2 linked regions of the Tribolium castaneum genome follow. The protein of the gene in region 1 purifies or fractionates together with the protein of each later gene. This does not show direct contact. Links are inferred from orthologs where the notes say so. Each region holds a gene or a part of one and is shown on either strand. Other genes may lie near its edges.

Evidence for each region. The genes of interacting proteins can lie anywhere in the genome.
Region 2: the proteins of CCT8 (region 1) and viaf purify together in Homo sapiens (affinity purification with mass spectrometry; 3 studies listed by BioGRID and IntAct, with this or other methods). This does not show direct contact. The link is inferred for Tribolium castaneum from reciprocal best matches to the Homo sapiens genes CCT8 and PDCL3.

The regions. Positions count from the first base shown.
Region 1 is NC_087397.1:4,703,788-4,709,801, forward strand, and holds CCT8 (T-complex protein 1 subunit theta), read right to left. Parts: upstream 3,872-6,014; 5' UTR 3,761-3,871; coding exon 3,701-3,760; intron 3,604-3,700; coding exon 2,683-3,603; intron 2,636-2,682; coding exon 2,201-2,635; intron 1,921-2,200; coding exon 1,702-1,920; 3' UTR 1,600-1,701; downstream 1-1,599. Other genes in the region: putative bifunctional UDP-N-acetylglucosamine transferase and deubiquitinase ALG13, read left to right, coding at 208-430, 479-656, 704-962, 1,007-1,452; Pen (importin subunit alpha-5), read left to right, coding at 4,632-4,685, 4,735-5,099, 5,145-5,715, 5,768-5,950, 5,999-6,014. UniProt on the Homo sapiens protein: Component of the chaperonin-containing T-complex (TRiC), a molecular chaperone complex that assists the folding of actin, tubulin and other proteins upon ATP hydrolysis.
Region 2 is NC_087394.1:28,839,818-28,844,295, reverse strand, and holds viaf (viral IAP-associated factor homolog), read left to right. Parts: upstream 1-1,938; 5' UTR 1,939-2,082; coding exon 2,083-2,088; intron 2,089-2,145; coding exon 2,146-2,278; intron 2,279-2,333; coding exon 2,334-2,562; intron 2,563-2,611; coding exon 2,612-2,820; intron 2,821-2,874; coding exon 2,875-2,990; 3' UTR 2,991-3,083; downstream 3,084-4,478. Other genes in the region: l(2)k09022 (HEAT repeat-containing protein 1 homolog), read right to left, coding at 1-99; protein arginine methyltransferase NDUFAF7 homolog, mitochondrial, read left to right, coding at 521-1,221, 1,275-1,812; maternal embryonic leucine zipper kinase, read left to right, coding at 3,453-3,674, 3,722-3,904, 3,956-4,216. UniProt on the Homo sapiens protein: Acts as a chaperone for the angiogenic VEGF receptor KDR/VEGFR2, increasing its abundance by inhibiting its ubiquitination and degradation.

The DNA of each region.
Region 1 (6,014 bases):
CATTTTGTAAACGACCAGAAACTAGAAAAATACTCTTCAAAAAATATTCCAACAGGTGTAGTACGTCAGTATTTTATGTTATCACCTACAAGGCAATGTATGTAAATTTTAGAATCCTCTCCCAAAAAATACAATCAAATATAAACCAAATCGTGTATTTTTTGCTGCGATAATAAATGAGAGACAGGTAATATCCCCAAATTTTAGAACTTCGTCTTGGCGACTGGTATTACGGTGATGACAACCTAATACTAGGAACACGCTGCATTCTCAATCAAGACGATCAAACTTACGAATGTTACATCCAAGAGATCATTAAAAACGAGAACAAATGTGTGGTTTATGTGACAAAACTCGCCGAAAAGCGCACCGTAAACTACACGGATTTGTCTCCTGAAAACGACGCAAAACCGTGGCCACTGCCCTACAGGTACACAAACAAATTTAAATAACAATACTACGACCGTTGTGAATTTAGATTTACCAAAAACCAAGTGGCGACTCCGTCCCAAGCCGTCACACTCGAAACCAAGCTAAAATTACCGAAAAAACGTAAAGATAAACGCCGAGTGAAAAGTAACAGCGAGTCTCAAACGCAAGCGGTTTCATCGCAACAGCTTGCCCAAGATATTGAGGCTTTCATTGGCCAGCCTTTGGTAAATAAAGTCACAGAACGGGATAAAACGTAACTGTGTTTTTTAAGCAAATGCAAAATAATTCCGGACAGAATTACAACCAAGCGCAAAGTCCCCCAGAAATATCCAGCTCGCAGTCGCAACATAATTTGCTAGTAACCCCTGATATTCCATCGCCGATGCCCAAATTTTCCTGGGAGACTCCTTGGAGCACCGCTGCTGCGGCCTCGTGCGAGAAATTCGTTTGGTCGCAACCAGCGACTTCCCCGGGGATGAAGCCGATGGTGGCCTCAGCTCCCACCACTCCAAACGTGATTCCTTACCACGGTAGAGTTACAATAGTGTTGCCATTTTCACATTTGTCAGTACAGATTCGCAATATCCCTTCGTCTACAATTACCCTGTGGACAGTTCGTTCAACTCGTGGAACAGCAGCTCTGTCTACAGTCCTCCGAGTCAATTTCCGCTGGAACCGGACGAGGACAACGAAAATGTGGACAATTTCCAGGAGTACGCTGGGAATTTTGAGGCGCAGCCGGCGAAAGAGATACCGCCACTGATTCTCCCGCCTCCCAATCCGCCAGTTGAGATCTACTCGGCTGTGATCCCCATTCCTCCGGGAACTCCCGTGATTTACACACACACTCCCGAAGGACCGGAAATGATGGTTTACACGCCGCCAGTTGATGTGCAATACGTTTCGCCAACACCGTACTTCTACTCGCCGACGATACCAACCACTTGGTATCCGCTAGGAATCAATTCCCAGGGATTTATTTTCCCAACTCCAGTCAACCAGAATTTGCAAAACAATTAAGAGCGTTTCATTATGAATGTTAATGCTTTGAAGAAATTTATTTTTGTTATTTTTGTCAGAGTTCAATTAAGTTTATCATGTTTTTCCTTATTAATGCATTTAATTATTGAGTTTCGTTTTCGTTGAAAGGTTCTGAGAAATAAAACGTTATTTTCGATACTTGTTATTTATTAATAACTGTTAAATAATACATGTGAAAGTGCAAATACAAAACGTTAAAGTATTGTTAACGAATTAAAAAAAAACTATTTATGATTCGTCATCGCTTCCTGCTGCTTGTCTCGGTTTGGGTCCTCCGGCCCTCTTCGCCATGATTATCTGGTCCACTCGGAGAATGGTAGCAGCAGCCCCCACGGCATACTTCAGCCCCCAGTATTTGCAAGAGTATAAGTCCAAAATGTTCTTTTCCAAGGCGTCGCAAATCGTGCTTTCGGCGTCAATATCAACGCCGACATTTTTCTGTTCGTTCTGCAGTAGCATATTAAAAGTGTTACAAACACCCTCACTATTACACTAGCCACATAAAATGAAATTATCGATTCAATTGGTGATTTTACGGTTAAATAAATGCGTGATTAACTGATCACAAATTTGATTGGTCCATTCGCGTTGTTAACTTTTAACAACGAATTAAATTTTTACAAAGCTTTTTGTAAACCGGCGCTTAATTTAATAATTTAGTGTACGTATCGAGTTGCAAATTTCAAAATAAAACAAACTACCAAAAATAATGCAATAGCTAGCTCACCTGATGAGCTTGGAGAATTTTTTCTAAAACTACAGTAGACCGATGCCCGCTGTTGTCGGCAAGAGTCTTCGGAAAACTTTCCAAAGCTGTTGCAAACTTCCTGACAGCGTATTGTTCCAAACCGGGAAGAGTATCAGCATATTGAGTCAACTGATGCGCTAATTCGGCTTCAACGGCGCCTGCCCCAGGCAGGAAACGCCCATCACGTGATAAACCCTTGAAAGTGTTAACACCATCGTCAATCGCTCGTTCGATATCGTCCATATAATTATCAGTAGCCCCACGAACGACAACGGTGGAAATTCGGGACTCTTTCCCTTCAAGCCTGAAAACCACAATGGGGGTATCCCCGAGTTCCTCAACACAGACCACATCGCAGTAGCCCAGTTCTTGAGGGGTGGGGGCGGTCAGACGAGGCAAAACAGTCGCTCCAACCTTTAAAAAAATTACTAGAAATTGAAATTTATTTGGGTCTTAAGTACCGTTTTGCTGAGCCTTCTCACATCGAATTTCGAGTTAAGCCGCACTGCCATCAGTCCGTACTTGTGGATGTAGTGCAGGGCCATGTCCCCAAACTTGGCCCCGGCCACTATCACCTTAGCCCCAGTGTCGGCAATTGACTTGATCTGTATTTCCAAGAGATTCTCCTCTCCCCTACTAAAATTCATCAACTCATCTGCGGTTTTGATCAAAACGGTTCCCTTGGTCTCAGTTTGCATGATATCGACTGCACAGCTGAAAACAGCAACTTTGGCGTTCTGCACTTTAGTGATTTCGCCCTCGACGTGTCTCTTAAACACCATTCCTTGGACAACTTGCGAGCTTTGCAAACCCGAACCTAGCACCTTGCAAACACGCACATTGTCAACGTTGAATGTGGTGTCCTCGGGCAGGATTGAAACACACGCTTTGGCCACTAAATTAGCCAAAAAGTCCTCGTGTCCGTACTGTTTTGACTGAATCGAGGTTCTAATCCCTTTAACGACCTCATTCAAGTTTCTGTAATCCTTGATTTCGTAACAGACTAGTTTCGGGAGGATTTCGAGACACTTTTCCAGGGCTTTCTCATAGCCCTCGGCCACTTCGGTCGGCGTGACCCCCAGTCTGATCAGCTCTTCCGAGGCCTCCAGAAGGGCCCCAGCCAGGATAATGACAAAGTTTGTGCCATCACCAACCTCGGAATCTTGCATTTGACTCGCGAGAATCATTAATTTGGCCGCGGGATGTTCAATATCCAGTTCTCTAATAATAGTGGCGGCATCACTGGTCACAAACTGCTTCTCAAGGTGGTTTATCACCATCTTGTTCATGCCATTGGGGCCGTAAGCCGAACGCACGGACTGGGCAAATTCCTTGCAAGCGTTAATATTTCGAATGACGGCTTCTTCGAGGCCGGAGTAGTGCTAGAAAATGCGAAATTTGAGAGATTTACGCCGATTTGCCGGCCCTTGTGCCGACCACATGTCACTTCGGGGATCGATTTTGGAAATTAGGACTTACCCGGGCGCCTTCTTTCAACATCTGGGCGAAGCCCGGGGCTTTAGGGACGTGAAGAGCCATTTTTGAGACCGATTTATTTTTTTATAAGCGAAATATTAATAATCGAAAAAGTTTGCACAACAATGGACATGTGAACTTTTGGTGACTAATTTGGTGGGTTCAGCGCCACCAACATGGGCAAGAAATAGAACCAAATGGCACGGCTGCTCATGCATGCGCATTGGTTTACGCTCGCTTTTTAAAATTCGGGATCGGGAAAAAAAACTGTATTTTAACTCCCGGCAATCCATTACAATCCCGGCAGCGTCATCAGCAATTCTCGAGGGTCTAAGCATGCAACTCGCATACGTTCGTTGCATAACGTCAGTCGTCGAGCTTTAAACTTGTGTTTTTGCACTCGTATTATTTATTTATTTTTTAATCCTCTTTAAGTGAAATGTCGAAAAATTAAGGCATTTAATTCACAGAATGGTAATTCTTTGTTCGTGAGTTGGGCCCAATCTTACCTTCGCATTTTAAATTTTCCGAAATTGGATTGGCTATAAATCGGCGCGAAGCACCATCCACTCATATTCAAATAATTCTCCAAATTTGATAATTCTATTGGCCAATTTGGTGGGACTGCTTTTCTATTGGCCAAGTGAAGCTTGCTCGTTATTGGCTGCCCGTCATTAATTGTCAGTGTGACGTTCAGGAACTGCAACGGAAATTTTGACCGTAGAATTTTTGTCGTTTTATTTTTTAATCGGTTGTGGAGACTATTCACTAATAGTTTTAATAGTTTTGGTGCCTAGTTTAAATATAATAGGTGAGTAGATAATCAATGCCCGAATCAGATGAATTAACCTAAAAAAGGCCCTTGAAATATCAAATCAATTTTTTGTTCTTCACCTATCAGTGACCCTGTTGCACGTTTCTAACTTCCAGAAAAATGGGAGACGAGAACAGGATCCGTTCGTTTAAAAACAAGGGAAAAGACTGTGAAGTGAGTATCAATCATGTGCAATTTTGCGATTTTGAGACTTCTCGTGTAGGAAATGCGCCGCCGACGGGCCGGCCAGACCATCGAACTGCGGAAAGCAAAAAAGGAAGACCAGTTGTTGAAGAGGCGCAACATATCGTTGCAAGAAGAGGCCTCAACTCCCCTTCAGGAGAACAACTCCGTGTCGCTGATCACCATGTCTGCCGAAGAAATCTTGATGGGTAATAACCCCACTCCCGACTTGCCCCATTTTAATGACCTGATAACAGGAATGATGAGCCCTGACGAGAACCTCCAGTTTAAGGCCACCCAAGCCTGCCGCAAAATGCTCAGCCGCGAGCGGAACCCCCCAATCGACCACATGATCCGCTTGGGGGTTGTCCCGCGATGCGTCGAGTTCCTGGGCAAGACCCACAAGTAAGCGAGAGCCTAGCCTTGCATCTTATTAATTTTTTTAAACAGCCCATCGCTGGTGTTTGAGGCTTGCTGGGCCCTCACGAACATCGCGTCTGGCACTTCCGAGCAGACCGCAGCCGTGGTCCAGGAGGGCGCCCTTCCTAAGCTCCAACAGCTGCTCTCCTCAAACCGCATCGACGTCGTGGAGCAGGCCATCTGGGCGATTGGTAACATTGCAGGTGATGGGCCCGAGAGCCGCGATTTGGTGCTCAACTACGGCGTTTTGCCCAGTCTTATCAACTTAATCAAACCAAACACTACCTTGTCCTTGTTACGCAATACTGTGTGGGTTATTTCTAATCTTTGCCGCAATAAAAATCCGTACCCCGATTTTGAGTTAGTCAAGCCGGCTTTACCCGTCTTGGCGAGACTTTTGTCGCATGACGATAAGGATGTTTTGGCCGACACGTGCTGGGCTTTGAGTTATTTAACCGATGGTAGCAATGAGAAAATTCAAGCGGTGCTTGACACCGGTTTAATTGACCGCCTAGTTATGCTTTTGTATAGTGAGGAAAGTACCGTCCTAACTCCGGCCTTGAGGGCCGTTGGTAACATTGTGACCGGAAACGACCATCAGGTATAAGGCCACTCAATCAATTGTTAAAAGTATTAATAATTTCGTTTGGTAGACTGATATGGTGATCAATGCCGGGGCTTTAGATTGTATGATCCGTTTATTGCAACACAGTAGACTGAACATTGTCAAAGAAGCTGCCTGGACAGTTTCAAACATTACTGCCGGAAATAGTGAGCAAATCCAAAAAGTCCTAGATGCCGGGATTTTGCCTTATCTTCTTCACGTCCTACAAACCGTATTGTTGCCACGCTTTGTCCGATTTTTCCTAAAACGTGACTTTTAGGGCGACTTTAAATCGC
Region 2 (4,478 bases), on another chromosome or scaffold:
AGGGTCGAAGAGCAAAGATGGGCGTTTCTTGTCCCTTTGTAACAGCGAGGTTTGGGGCAAAGCCAGGCGCTTGAGTTGCTCGCTCAGTGAGGTGCTCATCTTTAGAAACAAAAACTTTAAATGTGGGAACACTTACACAACCTAGGGAAGTGACTTACCTTTATTTTATCCAAAACCGGCGCCTGTAAACAAAAACAACGCCAGAAATTACATTACACGTGACAACTGGGGCACGCTGAAAAACTGTGGTTATGATACGATTTAGACTTGTCAAAGGATTTATCTACTGGACATTAGACCTAATTTTCTCTAAATTTCACTTAAAATTTGATTAACTGGGTAGTTTTTTATTTTAGTTGGGCACAATTTCTGTTATCATACGTGTCACAGAATTTAAATATTCACATCTTCTTCTTTATTTAAACAAAATCAATTATCTAACAAGGTGGAGCGCTAGACCTACTGTCACTCTGACAAGAGTGAGGTTATTCCAAAATTTCAAAAATAATTAATAGGAACAATGTTTCAAATACGACGTTGCACCCGTATTGTAAAAACCCTTCGGTCGTATTACACCGTCAAGAGTAACGAGTCCGTCAAAGACCCTCATCAAGTGGCTAAGCAAATTTACTCAAAAATCAAAGCCACCGGCCCTATCACAGTCGCTGAATACATGAAGGAAGTGTTAATAAACCCTTTAGGTGGCTATTACATGCACAAAGACGTGTTTGGTGAATCAGGGGACTTTATTACATCCCCAGAACTCAATCAAATGTTTGGAGAAATGGTTGCCATTTGGTTTTTGAATGAGTGGTCTAAAGTGGGGTCCCCTAAACCAATTCAAATTGTTGAATTAGGGCCAGGCCGTGGCACTTTAAGTCAGGATTTGTTGCGAGTGTTTGACCATTTCGGCGCACTACAGAGTGCCACTTTGCACTTGGTTGAAGTCAGTCCTCTTTTGAGTGATTTGCAAGCAAGGAAACTGTGTATCCAGTCGGACAATATTATTGATAAAAAGTCTGTGATACATAGGCAAGGGATAAGTCATCAGGGGATTCCCGTAAAGTGGTACAGGCAACTAGATGATGTTCCGAATTGTTTCACGTTATTGGTAGCTCATGAATTTTTTGACGCTTTGCCTGTACATAAGTTCCAAAAGACTAAAGACGGTTATAGGGAAATTTTAATAGATATAGACCTTTCTAAAGAATGTTCGTTTAGGTATTTTATGCTGACTCAAACTGCTACAAGTAATAGTATAAATATCTTTCCAGGTATGTTATAGCCAGAGAGGAAACTCCAGCTTCAAAACTTTATATTAGACCAAATGAGACTCGCGAACATTTTGAAATATCGCCTGAAAGTCTAGTTTTAGCCAAACAAATTGCAGAGAGATTAGAAATAGACGGTGGTTTAGCCCTGATTGCTGATTACGGCCACAATGGCAGCGGCACTGACACATTCAGAGCCTTCAAAAAGCACAAATTGCACGACCCTTTGGTAGAACCAGGCACTGCAGACCTCACAGCTGATGTAGATTTTGACGCACTTTCAAAAAGCGCCACTGAAGCTGGAGGGGTGATCACTTTTGGGCCAACTACTCAGCGAGACTTTTTGCTCAAAATGGGGATAGAGCATCGGTTCAAGGCACTTAAAGCAAATGCAAAACCGGACCAAATAGAGGGTTTAGAATTTGGGTACAAAATGATGACTGAAAGCAACCAAATGGGCGAGCGGTTCAAGTTCTTGGCGCTTTTACCAGCCGTTTTGGAGAAACTGTTGAAGAAGTATTCAGTTGCTGGGTTTCACTAATTAATGTTAAATAAAAATAAAAATGAGAACAAGTTTTAAATTTGGCGCTGTCTACTATCCCCACTCCGAAAACAAACTGGGAGAGTCACTGTTGCGATCTTCGTCCAACATTCGGGGTAAAGCGAGATGACAATATGTTACGTGACGGCAAAACATCGGATGTGTCATGCCTACTACACAAATTTCCTTTTTTGTAAAGTAGTCACATGTAGAGCTTCAACAGTAAATAATTCAAAATTTTAATATTTTTGACTCATACAGTTTAACAAAATGCAGGTTTGTACATTAATGTGAGGTTTTTTTGTGTTATTTTCCTGGTCTTAATAATTTTAGGACCCCAATGAGGACACTGAATGGAACGATGTTCTCAGAAGCAAGGGAATTATTCCTCCTAAGAAGGAAACAGAGATAACAGAGGATCAAATTGTGTCTATGTTGGAAGAGACAATTGAACAAAAAACCTCAAGTGATTGCACATTAAAATTCAAAAATAAACTTTGTTCACTTTTGTCCATTTTTAGCTGGTAAAGATTTTTCAAAGCTAGACCTTGATGAGCTAGACGAGTTGGAAGATTCTGAAGATGAAGCTGTTCTTCTTGAATACAGGAATAAGAGGATAGCTGAAATGAGAGCATTGGCTGAAAAAGCCAAATTTGGCTCAGTAGGTGAAATTTCAGCCCAAGATTATGTGCAGGAAGTTAATAAAGCTGGCACAGGCATTTGGGTTGTTTTACATTTATACAAACAAGGGTAAGACTAAAAGTTGTGGTTTTTATAATAATACACAATTATTTTACAGAATACCGCTGTGTGCCCTAATTAATGAATATATGAAGCAACTTGCAGCTAAATACCCAGCTGTTAAGTTCCTGAAATCAATTTCAACGACTTGTATACCAAATTATCCCGACAAAAACTTACCAACTCTCTTTGTGTACTTTGAAGGGGAATTAAAATCGCAAATTGTGGGTCCAGTCGAACTTAGGGGCCCAAATATGACCCAAGACGGTACGAAAATTAATATTTAGTTGTGAAACATTATTTGAATTATTATTTTTCCAGAGTTTGAATTTTTAATTGGAAAAACAGGCGCTATTGAGACCAGTATTAAAGAAGACCCAAAGCCGAAAATCAAAGATAAAATGTTCGCAGATTTGGCTAGTACCAATGATTGGTAATGCGGCAATAATCATCTTTATCTACTTAACGAATTTTGTAACAATTTTATTATTTATTGCTGTTGCTGTATTGAATAAATTAGTTTTTTGATCTACCAGTGTTTCAAACTCCCACACTTGCACCCCAAAAAATAATTTTTTAATAGAAAAACAGGCGATATTGTGCCTTACATTAGAGAATCTCCAAAGCCAAAAATCAAACACAAGATTTGGCCAACTTTTCGGCTTAAAACTTCTTTTCGATCCACTGGTGATTCGAACCAGCACAACTTCCACCGCAGACTACCGGCGTCCTCCGCCCAGTGACAGATGTCAAAACAATTCGAATTCAAATGCGGAAAATTCGTTAATGTTTGCAAATTTCTAACAAAAATATGTGTGTAATTTGAGCAAAAAATCGTGCAACTGTCCGTTTTTGTGTGATAAAGTAGTCGGAGAACAAGTGTTTGTCAAGTAGTCAAAATGGTGCGTTACGCTGAACTGAAAGGCTTGTATGAGATTGAGAAGACGATAGGCTGTGGAGGATTTGCTAAAGTTAAGCTCGCAACTCATGTAGCAACCGGAGAAAAGGTCGCAGTTAAAATAATGAACAAGACGGGACTTGGCGATGACTTGCCAAGGGTCAAACTGGAACTGAAGGCTTTAAAGTCGTTCTCACACCAACACATTTGCAAACTCTACCAAGTAACAACCATAAAGAACGTAAAGGCCTTGCTAATTGTGCTTTTTAGGTGATTGAGTCGGAAACGCACTTTTTCATAGTTATTGAGTACTGCTCAGGTGGCGAACTGTTTGACCACATTGTCGAAAAAAACCGCTTGAGTGAATCGGAAAGCCGCACTTTTTTCCGGCAAATTGTGTCAGGGGTGGCTTATTTGCACAGTCTGGGGTATGCACACAGGGACCTTAAACCAGTAGGTGTTTTCACAACTTTTCAATACATATAAGTAACAAAATAATTGCAGGAGAACGTCCTTCTCGATAAAGACCAGAACTTGAAGCTGATTGATTTTGGCTTATGTGCCCGGCCTGAGGGGGGCATGGGGAGCCCCCTGTACACGTCTTGCGGCTCTCCAACCTACGCGGCCCCCGAGCTAGTCTTGGGGAAGAAATATCTGGGGCCCGAAGTGGACGTCTGGGCCATGGGGGTCCTGCTCTATGCTCTCCTAGTCGGGGCTTTGCCCTTTGATGACATAAACATCGATAGCTTGTATAAAAAAATTCTGGTGAGTTGAGTTTATTTATTATCTTAATCGGGTACATATATTTCTGGTTTCGGTAAGAAGTTGATCACTATCACGTATTCTACTATATTAAAGGGCGCAAGGTGTTGTTTGTGCAACGACCAGTGCATTCCCAGCTTATTATACAAGCGGTTATTTTCCGATTTTAATGTTCTATGTAACGACTTGATTGTCCTCTTATTAAAATAAACCACCGGACACATTGAGCAGCCCAGCGTGCAACAAAACGTGAGGCACCCGCAGA